Linked DNA regions of Styela clava. The protein of the gene in region 1 interacts with the protein of each later gene in a biochemical or structural test. Links are inferred from orthologs where the notes say so. Each region holds a gene or a part of one and is shown in the gene's direction. Other genes may lie near its edges. The genes, in order: F-box-like/WD repeat-containing protein TBL1XR1 and E3 ubiquitin-protein ligase SIAH1A-like.

The links.
Region 2: the proteins of F-box-like/WD repeat-containing protein TBL1XR1 (region 1) and E3 ubiquitin-protein ligase SIAH1A-like form a complex in vitro, tested with the Drosophila melanogaster proteins (2 studies listed by BioGRID). The link is inferred for Styela clava from reciprocal best matches to the Drosophila melanogaster genes ebi and sina.

Annotation. Positions count from the first base shown.
Region 1 is NC_135258.1:3,382,759-3,391,653, reverse strand, and holds the start of F-box-like/WD repeat-containing protein TBL1XR1, read left to right. Parts: upstream 1-3,701; 5' UTR 3,702-3,959; coding exon 3,960-4,026; intron 4,027-6,632; coding exon 6,633-6,778; intron 6,779-7,564; coding exon 7,565-7,940; intron 7,941-8,895.
Region 2 is NC_135263.1:4,121,391-4,130,285, reverse strand, and holds the start of E3 ubiquitin-protein ligase SIAH1A-like, read left to right. Parts: upstream 1-4,249; 5' UTR 4,250-4,379; coding exon 4,380-4,874; intron 4,875-8,895. UniProt on the Drosophila melanogaster protein: E3 ubiquitin-protein ligase that is required for specification of R7 photoreceptor cell fate in the eye by mediating the ubiquitination and subsequent proteasomal degradation of Tramtrack (ttk).

The DNA of each region.
Region 1 (8,895 bases):
TTCGTCTTCAATTTTTACTAGAAATTCTTTATTTTAACAGTATTTTGTTATCTAAATGGAGTCTAGCAACCCCTTATGTCAACAAAATTCCATGAAATCGTCTATCTGTCCTTAAAGGGTTAATTTTCTACGGTTTGAGACGTTGTTTCGTCATTCGACGACCGAGAAAAAATATTCGATATTGAAAACATCGCTCATTGTTTTATAATAAAGAGAGAGGAAGATAGAAATAAGTCGTTGGTTACGACATAATGAGGTCTCGTATCGGAAAAGGGAGGAGTGACGCAGTAAGGGAAAATGAAGATAGAAAGAGGTGGACGAGTAGTAAAAGAGAGAGAGATAAAATGAGCGATAGAGGAAACAACAACACGATAGGAGAACGCGTTATTTGTCATCCGCAAAAAAGGGGGAGTTCATAATGGTTCAGTCCAAATTGTAAAAGAAATCTATTTTCATTCTTGGTTTGTTTATCAATGCGGTTTCAAAAACATCCCCTCTTGTCAGAATAATGGTTTCACCCGGTACGTGGCTCAGTTTTTTTGGCGGTAAAGGTCACAAGAGCTCTGTGAAGTCATAATGGCTTCTAGTTTCATTATGAAATCATTATTCGCTGACTTGCCAAAAACTGAGGACATTGCCAATGTTGTTGAATCCTCTCTGCCACCATGATCGATGAAATTTTTATGCATTTTGATGTAATAATCTTGCCTACAATATTAACATGATAAATTTAATTAAACTTGAGTTTGCGAAATTTGCTGTCGAAAACAAAATACATATGTAGACACTTGCCAAGAATTTTTATAATTTTGTCACCATTTTGAAAGCATTGTATCATTTAACCATCGTGTCATCAATCATTTTGATATCTTAGATTCAAATAAATTTGAGTTCATACATTGGAGACACAGCGATCTATTCTAAGTGCAGTTAATAAACTAATTAATCTAAAGACATAGACAATACTATTAAAGCATTTCTGCTGCCATATTCAATGAATTTATACCCGAATAAATAATTAAATAATTTTGCCAATTTTACTGTAATATTTTAATTAAATTTCAGTCCATATTGAGAAATAGCAGCACAATGGTCTGGTCTCCCAATCGCAGTTAAAATACAGATACATATTATGAATTACTGCCAAAGACTTTATGAATGTAATTCGTTCACCATTTTGATGGATTTGTGTCATATGATTGGTCATTTTTACTATAGGGTTATCGGCCATTTTAATATGTTGGGTTTAATACACACAATTTTAAAAAATGTGAGATGCATTGGTCTTTTATTTGCGGTTCATAATCAAAATACATATGCAAACACTGCCAAGAATATTTGGATGTAAATCTTTCTCCAATTTGATGGATTTGTATTAGATTATTGGCAATTTTTACTTCAGTGTTATCAGCAATTTTATTTTTCTAGGTCTAATTAAATTTGAGGTCACACAATTTTCAAAAACGGGGACAGAGTGACCTACTATTTGCAGTTCATAAACAAAATACACATGAAACCATTGCCAAGTCATTTCTGACGTAGTTCTTTCCATTTTGATGGATTTGTATTAGATTATTGGCCATTTTTACTACAGTGTTATCGGCCATTTTAATATCTGAATTTTAATTAAATTCGAGTTCACATAATTTTGAAAATGGTGAGACAGTGATCATTTATTTGTAGTTCAAAAATAATACACATATGGGAACACTGCCAAGAATTTATTGGAGCATAATTTTTTTACCATTTGATGAATTTGTATTAGGTTATTGGCAATTTTTACTATAGTGTTATCGGCCATTTTAATATCTGAATTTTAATTTATTTTGAATTTAACAATTTTGAAAATTGGACACAGTGATCAATTATTACTTATCGATTTTAATCGGTAAGTATGTTGATAGGTATTTGTCTGTGTTTGTCTGTCTGTCTGTTAGATGCACGCGATATCTCACGAAAGCGAGGTTGAATCTGCTCCAGATTTTGCATGTGCATTCATCATATGTTGGACCAGAAGTCAGTGATTTTGGATGTATCATGTGGTTTAATTAGCGTGTTATTAATATATTAGTGTCACTATGGGGTACCGTAAGAGTGCTGTTTTGGGGATCCCCTAACTTTCGATCGATAAGTCTTTGGTCTCTGAACAATATTCTCGTTTGTAGTTCAAAAATAATATACATATGAAAACACTGTCAAGAATTTTTTGAAAGTAGTTCTATTATCATTTTGATGGATACCGGTTCAGATCTGATATTCTTTCCAATTGTTTGCTATAAATCAACCATTTTCGTTACCATATTTTGTTGGTAGTACCTTACATTTTAATAATTAGTAAGTGGAAATTAACAATATTTTATAATGATCAGCTGACAGAAAATTTAAACATATATTTTTAATTAAAGATGATAATTCTCAAATGTTATTTATTTTGATATTATGACAATGAATGAAATATTTATACTAAATTTTTTGTTAGCAATTTTTCTATCTTTACTTCAAACAGGTTTTCAGATAAATATTCTGTGAAATGCAAAGAATCAGAATCTTCAAGGTTTTGAATAGCCTACCCACTTTACTATGCCCTTCAATCAATTAAATTTCATGTTGAGGAAATTTTACTATTATTTTGAAATAAATTGACCATTATTTGGAATAATTTTTTTGAAAGGAGTCACTAATTTTGAAAGAACTAAAATCTTCGGGAGATTATCATTGCCAACTCAGTTTATTATGTCCTTGTTATGTGTGCCTCATATACGTCACACACAGTAAGATTTCAAATTTGAACATTACGAAGTTGCAAATATGAATGAAATAATTGGGTATGCTTGGAATGATTTTCATGTTTTTTTGCACATTTTCACTTTAAAGGCTTTAGATACGGTAATTTATTACTAATATATAATCAAGTTTGGAATTACCGGAATTTTTTTCCTATTTGGCTTTGCCCACCTACCAGGTAGTTTACTACACCCTTGCTAGTATTGTAGTACGTCCTTAGTCACACTATAGAATTTCAAATTTGGTCTGTAGGGCGTTGCCTGATCCGGGAACAAATATTTGAACATTCCTTAGCAAAGTAGTTCAATATTGTTTCCTGCTTGTCAAAGAGTATTGTACCATGTTTGTTCCATGCTAATTTGAAGTAAAATATGACCATAAATCTTGGCTGGGGAAAACACAGCTCAATTGTAATTGTATTAAATTTAGGAACAAATAAAAGTAATATCTTTCTAGCAGAAAATACTAACTTCAACCACTGAAAATTTCAAAGCAATTGTTCCGGTAAATGAAAGAAGCGATTTTTTTTCAAAATGACAAATACCAACAAGAACAACAACATAATACCCAAATGACCTATAGGTCCACTTTGTGTCCAATAAACCGAAAAAACATCGCCTGGCACATACCGTCCCAAATTCTAACCGACTTTACCTGCATGTTGAAAATTTTGTAATTACTTACCAGATTATGGAAGTTTTCATTATACAGGTAGGTTGAGGGCCACCCAAAACTGTGATGTATGTTGCTCACGATGTCCTTGTCATACCAAATTTACTTATATTAACCACCTCCACTCACCTCTTCCCATTTCTTTATAGAGGTAGGATGAGAACTTTGAATTCTTTCAAAAAAATTTATATAAATTAAAATAATTATAAAATTTTGTCGGATTCTATATAATTCTAACCAACATTCTCTTCAAACAGATTTTTATATTACTAAACTAGCCTGGAACAGAAATTTCAACTCAAAGAATCACTACTAGGATATACAGTGTCAAATCATTGGAAATATTCTTCAGTTTTATCAAAAAGAAAATTGGATATATTTTGATTCAGAAGGAAAAAGCATGGATTACTAACTAACTTTTGGATATATACTATACAACGTCACAAATGATTGAAAAATCCTAATTTTTTTCATATAGACGTTGGAAAATCGCAATTTCTTCCATGTTAAATATGAGCATCACGTCGGATGAAGTAAACTTCCTGGTCTATAGGTACCTGGAGGAGTCAGGTGACGATTCTTTTTGATTCTTTTTTTCTACATTGTAAAAGCGAAAATACTTTTAGCAATGCTCATTTTCTCAGAAGGGCTGTTTGGTCTCGACCAGTGGTTCTTAAATATTTGCGCCCCCTTTCAGAATTTGTCAAGTCTCGAGCCACACCTCAGAAATAACTAGCTAACAATAAGCTACAAATAATAGATAATAAGGTGAAACTAATTCAAAAAACTTGTTGAAAATACCTGGATGAAAAGGATACATTTTACATACGTTTTAGCAGGGTTATTGGTGTTTTTAGACGGTTTTTTACTGTTTTTAAGCGTTGTAGCAGGGTTATTGGTGTTTTTAGACGGTTTTTCAATGATGTTAAGCGTTTTAGCAGGGTTATTGGTGTTTTTAGACGGTTTTCCACTGTTTTTAAGCGTTTTAGCAGGGTTATTGGTGTTTTTAGACTGTTTCTCACTGTTTTTAGGCGTTTTAGCAGGTTTATTTGTGTTTTTAGACGGTTTTTCACTGTTTTTAAAATAAAGATACAACAGCTCTCTGCAATCTCAAAACAATTAAGAAATGTAAATATCCAAAATATGGCGAGCAAGATCAAATCTGACAAATATACCTTTTTTTATAATCAGCTTCATGTTCCCCTCAAGAAATAATTTTCTACGCCCCTCTTATGGGAAGCACACCACTGGTCTGGACGAATTTGCATTCTAAACAAGACTCTTGAGCCATTTAAAATGCACTCTGGTATTGATTTAGTGAAAATATTTATTCTGTTCTCGGAAACAAAGTTGAAGGAAGTTCTGGCTCTAGTTGTGAAGTCAGAGAAAATTGAGATAATAGGATTTAATTAAAAACAAAAAAACATTGAAACTAAAAACTTAGAAATTTACTTAAAATATAATGATTTGATTCAAAAATCCAAATACGACAATTATGTTTGGCAGTGGAATTTATTTGGCACAAAAAGAGCCTGTAAAAACAAAATATTTTGATCACAAAAATTATTCGAGGCGTTTTTTATTGTCTGATGAGAATACCAACTTTTGATAGCATGAACCTTTTGAGCATTTGCAAGCATTATATAATTTTTTAAAAAGGAAAATAAATAGGCTAATAGGCTTAGATTTACAGTCGAAGATTTCCAATTATCACTATTAAAAATCAGAAATGCTGACTCCTGAGAAATTTCCACTTCCGTATACATTTCTGATCTGTGGAATTGGGCCGGGTTCCAATATCAGTAGATACATGCCAAAAGACGACTACATTCGCATAGATAATTAGAGTTTGATATCGCCCGGGTTGTCTCAATAGTAAGCTTCATAGATCATGGTAATTGGTAAATCTAAGCTAACCTAACACATATGAAAATTTTCACAGTAGATCTTGTACTTTTTATAATTTTCAGGAAGAGATATGGAGGAGTCTTTATTCATACTCTTGACATGATAATTTTTCAAATGAAATTATTCAATTTTGAATCAATTTGAATATTCAGTTAGTTTTAAACATTTCTGTCGTGCAGCCAAGGTTTTTATACTGCTGTCAATCTAGCAACAATGTTGGTAGTAGAGCAGTGGTTCTCGACCTTTTATGGCTCGTGGCTCCCTTGTTTTATCATTCCATTGGTATTTATAGTGTTATTTGTTAAAATGTTAAACAATTCATGCACAATAAAGTGTGCACAATATTTTTATCAAGCAATGAAACTAGGTTTGTAAAGAAAAATATAAAAAAAATTTTGTGTGTACCCCCTGCTCTGTGGCGCCCTTGGTGGTTGGGAACCGCTGCTTTAGGGCTTGTTTCGGAGAAAAAATATTTTAACCACTTACAAAACTACAGGACTGGTAGATTCCTAGTTTGCCAAAAGTCAGTGCACACTGATTGCTGAAATAATACAGGGTGTCCATAAAGTCCCTTTACAATATCAATTTTGTTATGAAGTCAGTTCTCAATATATCTTAACCAGGTTTGTTGATTTTTAATCAGTATTTTCTCTTCATTTAATACATCTGCGAGGGCCAAAACAATATATTGTATCGAATAATTCCCTTCTCAATATTTATAAAATTAAAGGTGGACACCCTATATTTTTGTGTCTGGATTTTTGAATGTATTCTAAAATGGGTCATTAATGTCCAGCAGGAAGCGTATAGGAGTCCATGTGTATACAATGAGTTTCACATAAAAATACGGGAAAATTTGATAAATAGTCTTTTGATTGGTCCTGTTTTCTATAAAACCATGGTAGGAGAAGCTTACCAAAATCGCTTTTCATACTTTCATGGGAAGTTATAGTTTCTGGAGGTGGGGAAGGATTATTTGTTTCAGAGGGAAAATTTAGGGCTGTAGAAGTGTGTGTGCCATATTGAGGTAACTAATATTGTTCGCCTACTTCAAGTTGTGTAAAGGGACTGGAACCTATAGGCAGGGGGTATATTCACTTGGCTAACACTGACAGTCCCCGAACTCATACTAGAATTAAAAGAAGGAAAATCGGAATGAAATTATGCCCTAACCCGGTACACACACTACGGGAGTACCAAAAAAGGAATGTAACAAAAAGGGTTTGGAACGCTGACCAAAACATTTATTCCCATTTCACTTTTTCCAGGTTTTCACCACAGTGCGTTTGTATTCGGTCTGGAGTCCCATATCAGTCAATCAAACATCAATGGCGGCCTCGTGCCATCAGCTGCTCTCATATCCATCATACAGAAAGGCCTACAATATGTTGAAGCAGAGATCAGCATTAATGAGGTACATAGTTTTTTTGTGTGACATTTCAAATTTATGTGATGAAAAAGGCTGTAGACAAGACTAATCTGAAAGGCAGGGACATACTCAGGGGCAGTGTTCCCTCTAAGATGTGCGCGTGTGCTGCGCCCACGCATAGATTTACTGCACACAGACGTATTTCGATGTAATGTAACAATGTGCTCGGTTGGCAGGTTGAGAAAGTTTGTTGTTGGCCCACTTATTACCCGGTTAGAAAGCCAAAATTTCTTCATTGGTTTTTGCACAAATATTAGTCATTTCCAAAAAAGTGCGCACACACCAAAATTTCTGCGCACACATACTACAAAAAATTAGAGGGAACATTGCTCAGGGGGCTCTGAGCCCTCCCTTTTGAAATGTAAAAAAGGTCATTTTTATGTATCATACAATCTTCATTTGCTGACACGTAAATCCATAGTTGGGGGCTCTTGGCATTTCAGTTAGTTGCTTGCAACTAAGAGATGAGCCTTCTTCACTTCCGAGTGAGTACGCGAACTTCGGTATTTCCATGGTAACTTTTCTTAGACCTTCTTGAGGTAGTAATGTCTTGAAAAGGATATTACCAAAACAATATGATAGTCCACCAGTATTGCTGATGTATATTTCCAATTAATTTTTTCAACTCCTGCTTTTTGTGGGATGGGATGTTAGGACTTTAAACTCTCAATATTTTTGCGGGATGTAATGATACAAATTTTTTTTATTTTCCCCATTTTTTTTCGAGATGGAATGTTATTATACATTTTTGAACCCCTACTATTTTTTCAGGATGGGATGATATTTGAAGGAAGATTCAGTGAAAGCCTATCATTAGTTGACGCAGTTATGCCTGATGTTGTTCTGGCAAGACAACAACAATTGAAAGAAAAAATGGCCGCTCAGAAACTACAACAAGAGCAGGAAAAAGCTCGAGCTCAGCAACAGAAAAACGCTGAAGAAACGAAAAACACTAACAATGTTGATATGGCGTTACAAGACGGTGGTGATGCGTCTGTTTCCACGACGACGAACATTCCTTTACAGTCGTCAGTTAATAATACTGATGCCATTATGACATCAACAGTAGTTACCGCGGCAACCTCAACAACCTCAATTAAACAAGAGCCTCAAGTTAACGGAGAGTCCAACAGCACAAATGGTCTAGGTAATTCACTACATATTTTATTTTCAACCAGCCGTGGTTAAATTTGAGTAATGTTTCACTGTTCCAAATAGATTCTGAAATAAGAGTTATGAATATGGAATAGTGAATATATCCTGAATAAGGGCATTTCCAATTGGAGAAAAACTAAATTCATAGTGTCGCAACATAGGCACGACATGACGTTTTTCCTCGTTGCTCACAACATATCAGAAGTCAGACAGGGCCCCGAATCCTTCCCAATGCATTTCTTGTGGAAATGGCGGATAATCAAAACGATGTTCAATTATATAGACATGAAAGTCCTGTATCTGATCTTTAGTGGTATGTTGCCTAGCTTTCCCAAGACATTAATAGACCTATGGATTATTTCTGTAAAAATGTTTTTGTTTTTTTTGGAACAAAAATTTTGTCTCCTGGTAGGCTATATCGATTATGTACAATTCTTATTCACTCATCTCTGAACAGAAGCAGAGAGCACCCACTGATATTTATGTATCCACCTTATATTATGTACCCAATTTATATTTTATGTATTTGGATATGAGGTTATTTGAACGTTTTGTTAAAATGGTATTTATATAGTTGTTGGGACAGCACTCTTCCCTTCAACTTTCCACTATCTCGCAAAAATTAAAAAAGGAAAAAGTGTATCCTAGGAAAGCTATTGCTTTCATATTTTTTCAAATTTCTTCGGGGTACCACAAGATTTGTTGTTTTTCGGTAAAATTTGTGCCACTTGATGCCCTGTGATTGTGTTATAAATTAACAGCGTTTTGTATGCTCTTCGTACTTTTTTTTTTTTTTTTCATACGGCTCCTCTCTTGTCTTCCGCTCTGAACAAGGCCCTGATATCTAGCGATAGGCGATACTGTTTGCATGGAAATCTTATACGAATACTCTTCATACACTCTGTTAAGGCTTCAGTACCCTGCTTTGAGTGAATAGAGCAATCAAT
Region 2 (8,895 bases), on another chromosome or scaffold:
CGGAGACCGGAGACTTATCGATCGAAACTGCGGTTTCGATTCATGACTCAATAGTGACACCGCGTGTCCCATCACTAATTAATTAATAACTCGGTAATTATACGACAAATTCATAATTATACGACAAATCAATAGCCTTCTGGTCCGAGATATGATGAATGCACATGCAAAATTTGGAGCTTTCGTGAGATACCGCGTGCATCTAACAGTCGGACAGCCAAATACCTATCAACATACTTACCGATCTTAAGATCGATAAGTAATAATGGAAGACTCCAACGCAAGCCAAAAAGCTAAATTTTTTCAATCGATTAGACTTCATTACTATAGCAAGCGTGTCGGTCGAATCCACCCAAAATACAACTAAACCAAAGTAGGTGTATGTTGAAATCTAACGCTCGTAAATGTAGCACAAATGCTAGTCTGGTGGTTTCTATGGTACATTTTACCGGTATGTTAGTCGTTGGGCTGGAGGGAGCGATACGGCCATAAGGTCATCAAAGTCAGCTTCCGTCAAATTCACCATTAAGATTCACAGTTCATGTATATGAACCGTGCATCATCTGATCCGTTTGACACACAAAACATTTAGTTTTAATATATACGTTGACAAGAAGACACAAATTCAAAAATTCTGGGCGTTTATTCTTGAGAAAGAAAAGTATATATACGCGAATTGTTGCATTCGGGAGTTGAAGCTTGAAAAATAAAAATACACGAGCGTGAACTCAGGCTTTACACTTGAAGAGTTGAAGTTGAGTTCTGGTCCAGATACCTATCTTTGTGTCAAAATTCTGTTAATTGACATACTGCACGAGACTGAAGATTGATTGTTTGCTTGATTTCTTAAATGTTGATGTGTTTTTCTTTGGTTCCTGATAAATTGCTTTTCATTTTGATTGACGAGCAGGCAATCTAAAGCGGAATGTCGAGTGCCATAGGATAGCTGAAGTTACCGGCATAAATCTAATCCTAATCGACAAGCGTGATTGGGTGATCTTTGGCAGTGGTTCCCAACCTTTCTACCCTGGCGGACCGGTAAAATTAAATATATTCGCGGACGGCAATAAAATGAAATGAGCGGAACAGAAAGTAATAACATATATTTTCGTAATATAATGCAATAAAAATGCTTCTAGACAAAAAAAGGCACACTTAAAAACATTTCACACGAAGAAAAACTATCAAATAATGTGCCGGCCAACAATTGAAATGGGTGAAACATAAAATAATACCATATATTTGCGTGATGAAATGCAGTGCTGTGCACCCATTATGCGTAAGAAGGCACACAAAAACATTTGACATGAAAAAAAAACATACCAAATCACGTACAAACACAATTAACTATAGTCAGAATTTTGCTGCTGTTTCGTTTCAAATATAGGATTGCAGACGAGGCCTCAAATCAGTTTCTGAAACACGTTGCTCTGCAGCTGCGTGCAGCCAATTTCCTTGCTTCAAGCTAGTGATGAGAATGTTTTTTATTTTCGCGTAAAGCATAAGTAACTGGTTGAAAATACTGACAACAGTTTGATTGCTCGATTACTTAGCGATGGGTATTCGGTATTATTAAGAGATACCCAAAATTTAGACAGTGATTTTTTTTATAATCTGGACTGTAAAGTAGGATCACAATTTTAATCAGCTTTTCTTTTTCACTAAAATTTACATTACAATGACAAAGTCGTCGGTAACTTGGCACCAGTTTCAATCCTACTGTGCCTGCTTAATACTTGAAAAGATCTCAGCGGATCTCTTTTTTGGTTTAAACAAAGAAATATGCATACCGTTTTATATGGATTGTCATATTAATCAAGAAAAGTTAATCAAGAGTTCCGACTTTTAGGTTTCTGAATCTTGCGAGATTTGATGGAGCGCATTCGAGATGAATCGGAGCCGAAAGAGCGAAAAGTGTGATCGGCGCCAAGATGTCGCGAAAGACGTCGCAATAAACCGGCGGAAGAGAAATTGGGCAATAAACAAACGCAACCCTGTCTTCGGTAAAGCGATTGATATGGCATAAAAACAACGAAATTTTTAGCGGACCGGCAAAAAAGTTTCGCGGACCGGCGGTTGGGAACCACCAATCTACGGGAATCGCGAGTCATTTACGTCTTCCTCCGCCATCAAATCCATGTATCTGAAACAAACAACTGGCTAACCCGACATAAACTGGTAAGTGATACGCTATATGACTGAGCCGTCTTATCGACTTTCCTCTCCCCAGAATAAATAAGAAAATCCACTTTGGAGCAAAAGCATATGTGTGACGTCAAACAGTAGCATTATCGCACGCTTCACCGCCCACAGTGCGAACAACTGTTTTCTTTCATTTTTTATTATAAGTCACTAACCGTTGGGATATTCGGATTTCTTGACGACAAAGGTTTTTATATTACTGTATTAACCTTTTGTGTTTTGTTCTGAGGTCGTGTAAATGTTTTGTTCTTATTGATATGGGTTTGCTGTTTTTAGTGGAAATTTGGTACCGGTACTGGCTGCCGGTAGGCTATATTTGATAGTTTTATCAGAAGACTTTAATCACGCTGCCTCATCGAATTATCGCGATGTACTGTGAATGTGAACATAATTTTATTCAAATTAACATCAGAACAGTTTGTGACTATACTACGGTATCTGTTTATGTGATGTTTCTGTTAGGGGGCACTGGCTGACTGGGCATATATAAATTCGGGTCTGGTATAGTCAGGGATTCCATATCGTCCTTATTTCTAAGGTTTGTCCTTATTTTTAGCTTGCGTCCTTATTTTTGGCTTGCATGTCCTCATTTTGTCTTATTTGGACTTCATAAAGGAAGCTTTGTGTTGTTTGCTTTATCGCCAAAGTTTTATTATGGCATCATAAAAGCAGTTGTCTAGTTGCAGAGTTGGCCTGGCTCAACAATTTTTGCATATGCAGATAGGGTGGTGTAGCCAGTCTGCGGACGATTTCATTCAAACCGCTATAAAACAAAAACCAATATTTCTAACCCGTTAAATTTTTCACCGTAGGTGGACGAGGGATAAGTGGACGATAACGTGTGAGAAATATCGTCGCGGTTCGGTAATTTTTTCGGCTTTAATTTAATTGATGATGTTGATGGTCGCAGATAGGTCATGGCCGCAAAGTGGGTAAGCCACCCTATGTCATTCCTAACCCCCACCTGACTATGTCACCAAAAAAATATGTCACTAAGACACCACAGTGGCGTAAAAATGCCTACAAAGCGTACGGATGGTCGTTCAAAACGCGCAGACAATCACCCAAAATCGAGCAAGCTATTTTCCTCGTCGCAACGATCCCGATATGAGTGAGACCGCTGGCCTTGGTGAGTTTGGTATCCAGGTATTGCCGGTACAGATGCCAACCGACCATTCATGTCGGTTATATTATTAGTTAGCCAGTTGTTTGATTCAGATGTATGGACTCGGTGGTGGATGAAGCTGTAACTGACCCCGATTATATGAATCACTCCACGGCGGCAAAAACTGAAGAGCCCAGCAATCTTCTTGTACTGTTGTATATAGTCTAAATATCTCTCACATGATTCCAACCTGCGAACATACGCGGGGTAATCAGAGTTGCGGCAGTGAGTGTATTCCTAATGCTTGCCGCTGAGCATTGTTCAGTTGTTACATTGTTTTGTACATACGATACCATTCTGCCATTGCCGAACAACTCAGACTTATGACAAGCTGTGTGGTTCCTTAGTAGCAGTGTTGTTATCAAGTATTTATGAATTTAATTAAAGTACAATGGGTACCTACTGATTGAATTTACAGCTACCTGGTTTTGTCATCCAAAGATTATGTCACTACGACCTCACAATCACCTCAAACAGCTTGCCAAAGTATAGCTGTGATAGACGGAAATGACATATTTGCCAACGTTAATGAACTCACTAACGCTAGCTCATATTGGGAATCTCATATTGGGATCATTACGACAAGAAAATGAGAGAAATCATCTGCGCGTCTCGGATGACCATTAGTATAGTTTGAAGGGCCTCATTATGTTACTGTGACATGGTAGTGAGGTAATTTTTGAATGACGTAGTCAGGTGGGGTTAGGAATAACGTATGCAAAAATAGTTTTGCCACGCCTACTAAAAGTACTTATGTCGTGTTGTGAACATGGCCCGAATATTTCAACTTCAAGAAAATGATCAAGTTTTGGAGAATATCCCTCCCCTATTCATTCTACGTATATAATGTGAGAATATTATCAAACATTCATCTTTTCTTATAAATAATTTACAGATATTTTAAATTTGTATAGAGATATAAAAAAACATTTGGATAGTTGCAGAAAAAAGCCTGCTGCCATTTGTGCAGCATGGTTCTATGATGTGACATCACTTTGGATTATTCTTAGTAATGCCAAACCCAAAAAATATGAGTCGGCAGACTTGTTCCTCTAACACAACCAAAGCTAATAGTGGGGATATGCCTGTCAGTGGACGAAAACCTGATGGTACTATAGCTTCAAATAATGACTTAGCGAGTTTATTTGAATGTCCTGTATGTTTTGACTATGTCCTACCTCCAATTTTGCAATGCCAAAGCGGACATTTAGTTTGTGGGGCCTGCAGGCCTAAATTAACATGCTGCCCAACATGTCGCGGACCTTTGGGCAATATAAGAAATCTAGGAATGGAAAAAGTTGCAAGTTCTGTACTATTTCCGTGTAGATATGTATCATCTGGCTGTGAATCGACTTTAATATACACAGAGAAGTCTGAACATGAAGAAACATGCGAATACAGGCCTTATTCTTGCCCGTGTCCCGGAGCCTCATGTAAATGGCAAGGATCATTGGATCAAGTAATGCCACATCTGATGACAACTCACAAATCTATCACTAATTTACAGGTAAATTGTTCATTTGCAACTTATAGACAGTTTGTTTGTAGTGCAACTTCTAGACCAGGGATGTCCAACCCGCGGGCCGCGTGTGGCCCACTTGAAGTTTTTATAAATAATGCGACGAAGTCGCAAAGTTGTTGAACTCATTTGAAGAAAGATTCGCTTACTTACAAAAATTCGACAGTCTCTTTAAAATTTTTATGTGTTCATTTTAAATTCGAGTAGAAGATGGCCCAGAATACATGCAACTTGAATTGATCCAATCAAAAACCGAACTGAAATGCTTGTTTCAAAGAAATAGAAAACTTCAATTCCACAGTCAACGATAGAGATATCGATGGAGATGAGTTTCCCATTCTGAGACAAATGGCAATGCGTATTGCGGCGGCGATAGGAACAACATATTTGTGCAAATCCTTCTTTTCTAAACTGAAAATTATAAAGTCTGAGCCAGGGGTCGGCAACCCCTGGCACGCGTGCCAATTGTGACACGCGAGAGGATTTCTCATGGCACGCCAAGTGATTTGAGGCAGATTCAGATATTTCTTTTAGTAGTTCGATAAACATTCTACATTTGAACAAAAATTAACAATTCGACAAATTCATTGAAAAACATGCAATATTTAACTGCAATCGACAAAAGCCGAAATCTGTACGGCAGGGGTCTCAAACTCAATTTACCTGGAAGCCGCCGAAACGGAGTCTGAGTGAGTCCGGGCCGCATCAGATTTTCCACAATAAAAGCATCGCATAAAACATTTTTTTCTCTATTTTTCTATACGCAAAACATGTCAAAAACATAAATGTAAGTAATTCCGCGATAGACCTTCCGTCGAGCACCTACTTCCTTGTTTATTCCGTAACATTGGCTAATCAGCAAGACGCAAAACGTAACGTAACAATAGACGTTTTCGCAAACGCTCAGAGACTTGTCACTCAGAAAGATTTTCAGGCATGTTTGTAAACATTACCTCGTTTTTGCATGCTATTTGTTAGTTTTTGGTTGTGTTTCAGAAATTCAAGTATGAATCAAAGAACCAAATGATCATTCTTTGATCATTCATTGCTTGGGCGTCGTAGCTTAATTGCAGTAATCAAAAATTAGTGTAAAAATAACTGTGATAGAATAGGCTAAACTTCTCTACCGGTACTGTTGAAAAACAGGTTGTTGAATGTTTTGAATCAAAAAGAAGCAAGTGGTTACAACATATACCCCAGTTTATACGCTTCAACTCGTGAAGCCACCCCTAAAATAAGCAACAAGAAATTTGCAATGGTGAAGTATAAAAACGAAAATGTTGAGGTCACAGGTCGGGGAAGGTCCATCGATAATCATGCCTACAGCTACAGGTACGGTACTAGTAGGTTACCGTACCGCATATGCCTTTCGGAGGATAGATTTTGAAATATTTTGTTTTGCTCTACTTGTCCTGATCATATATTAAATGCATCAATCATTCTAACTGAGCTGAGTAACTTACGGACCGCACTAACATTGAACTTTCATACCAAGGCGGGGGCCACAAACTATCGTCCTGCGGGCCACGAGTTTGAGACCCCTGCTGTACGGGAAACCAGTGTAATTAAGTATGTGCGGTGCAATGTTGCCACATTTCGCTTTTTTCGGAAAAACTATTGATCATAGGTCGGAATCTGTATGGAAAATCAGTGTAGATGAGCATGTTTGGTGCAGCGGTGCCAGATTTGGCTACTGTCGGAAACAACGCTTCGCTACTTAAAACTACTCGTTTAACTACTTGCGATTTTTCATATTACTGTTGGGTTACTTTTTGCCCGTTAAATCGGGAAATATTGAATATTCATTTATCAATTCACACTTTTGGGCAACTATTCATACAGCTTTTTGCTAAAATCGCGATTGTTTTTGTCAGCGTGGCGTGTTAGGCTGTGAACACTTTAAGTTGGTGTTTATTCTCCCTGATTCCAAAAAATTATTTAACGACAACGATTTTAATTACTTTCTTTTTTCACTCGCCCAGAATTGTGAATTTGTTGAGAGGTATTATACAATAATCATTGGCGCGTTGCTTAGGTCAAACAAAGGAGTGAAACGGCGACACAAATTTTTTCATTGAACAGCGACAACTAAAAATATCAAAAATAAAACCGTAAACAATTTGTTCTAGTTGGCCCGCGACAGCTCTTTAGGCATTGTAAATTGCAAAATCTTGAATGCCTATGTGTTAATTGTGCGCGGATTTTTCTATTTTACTTGCGGTCGGAAATGTTCGTGTTAATATTATATATTATAGGTTAGAAACGCGACTTTTTCCCGAGTCGTGGTGATATATAAGATAAGTATATTCAATCAATTTTTATTGTACTAAAATAAATTTTATTTTATTGCAGACTTGGAATTTTTTTAACGGTAGTTTTTATCAGGTAGTTGACTATGCAAACCAAGTTTGGCACGCGAAGATGCTCAATATTCATAAAATGGCAGGCTGAGTTCAAAAGGTTGCCGACCCCTGGTCTAAGCATAGGAGTAATCTGACGAATGACAATTTAAGGAGCCTGTTACGTTGTGCGGTATCAAAACTACCTGTTGATATTAAACAGTTGCGCAATGACATACAAAAGCAAGTTTCGCACTAGTTGAAAAAATATTGCTGACATTTTTTATTTTTTATGCCAATTTGCATTATTGCAAAAATTTTGCGCCAAAGTTGAGTTGAACTTTATGGTTCATGATCCTTGTGTGCATGTTGTGTTCAAAAATTCGCAAAAGTGTTGTGCAATCCAGGCGTTCGATTTAGCGACGCTCAAATTCTAACGTAAATCAGAACTGGGATGGTATTTTGAGTTTGGTGAAAACGTTTGCGGCCCGCAATGAATTGCCTCACATGAAAGCGGCCTGCGACACTGAAAAGGTTGGACATGCTTGTTCTAGACTGTTATTCTCATTTGAAGTTGCAGGGCGACCCAAAAAACAACCCAGGTCCTTTGGAACCTTTTCTAAGAAGGATACCATATACCTTTTGTGCAAAGATCCTAGATTACTCACATTACTGAAACTTTTTGGTACAATCTTACACAAACAGGAGTTCGAATGTTAAAAAAATTTTCGAAGAAGTAATCAATGAATAAATGGGTTCAATTTTTTTGGCATCCTATACGTGTGAAGTTAGGTGTACTTTCATTCTACAAGTAGAGAAATTTGATTTTGGATAACTTGATAAATTAACTTCAATAAATGAAACTCAAGATTAATTCTTTTTATAATACTGTTCTATGTCAGACGTATGGTTCAACTTTATAATAAATTTTATAGTAGAGAATTCTCATCTGCGGTGCTACGCATAAGATGAGATAGTTTGCATTTATGAATATTTGGAAATTTTAGGCACATTTTATTGGTGTGTTGTGTTCGTGTACTATAAAAAATATAGGATTATTCGAAGCATGGAATTTATCACGATTTTGCATTCCAGAATTTAAAACTCATTGAATATATAAGGACTAAATGTGATCTTTGTTTAATTCGGAATTTAAGAATATATTCAAATTTAAAATATATTCGAAAATATTATTTTGGAATTGTAGATTATTTGGATTTGACTGTTCCATAACAATCTATTCCAATGCGGGAATTGTTTGTGGAAACATTAGCCACAAAATATCATTTAAAAGCTATTTAACTTTATCAAATTGGGTTAAAACTGAAAAAAGTGAAGATACATAATTTGTATATACTGAATTTCTCATAGAAAAATGTGGTTTAAATAAGAGTATTTTAACTTTTATTTACTGAGACGCTATAAAAGTTTGTGGGCATGGCTTTCTGAACAAATTTAGTAAAATCCTTCGCTACCCAAGAATATGCTCAATTTCTAACTGTAAATTTATATTGGTTGCAAAGTTAAATTATTGCTATAAAACAATCATTGCATATACCGTAAGCAAACTAGATGTTATCAAGTTTGCACTGTAATACTATTGAGCAACACTTCAATACCAAACAATAAAATAAAACAAAAGCGACCTAATAAAATTTTCAGGCGACCTG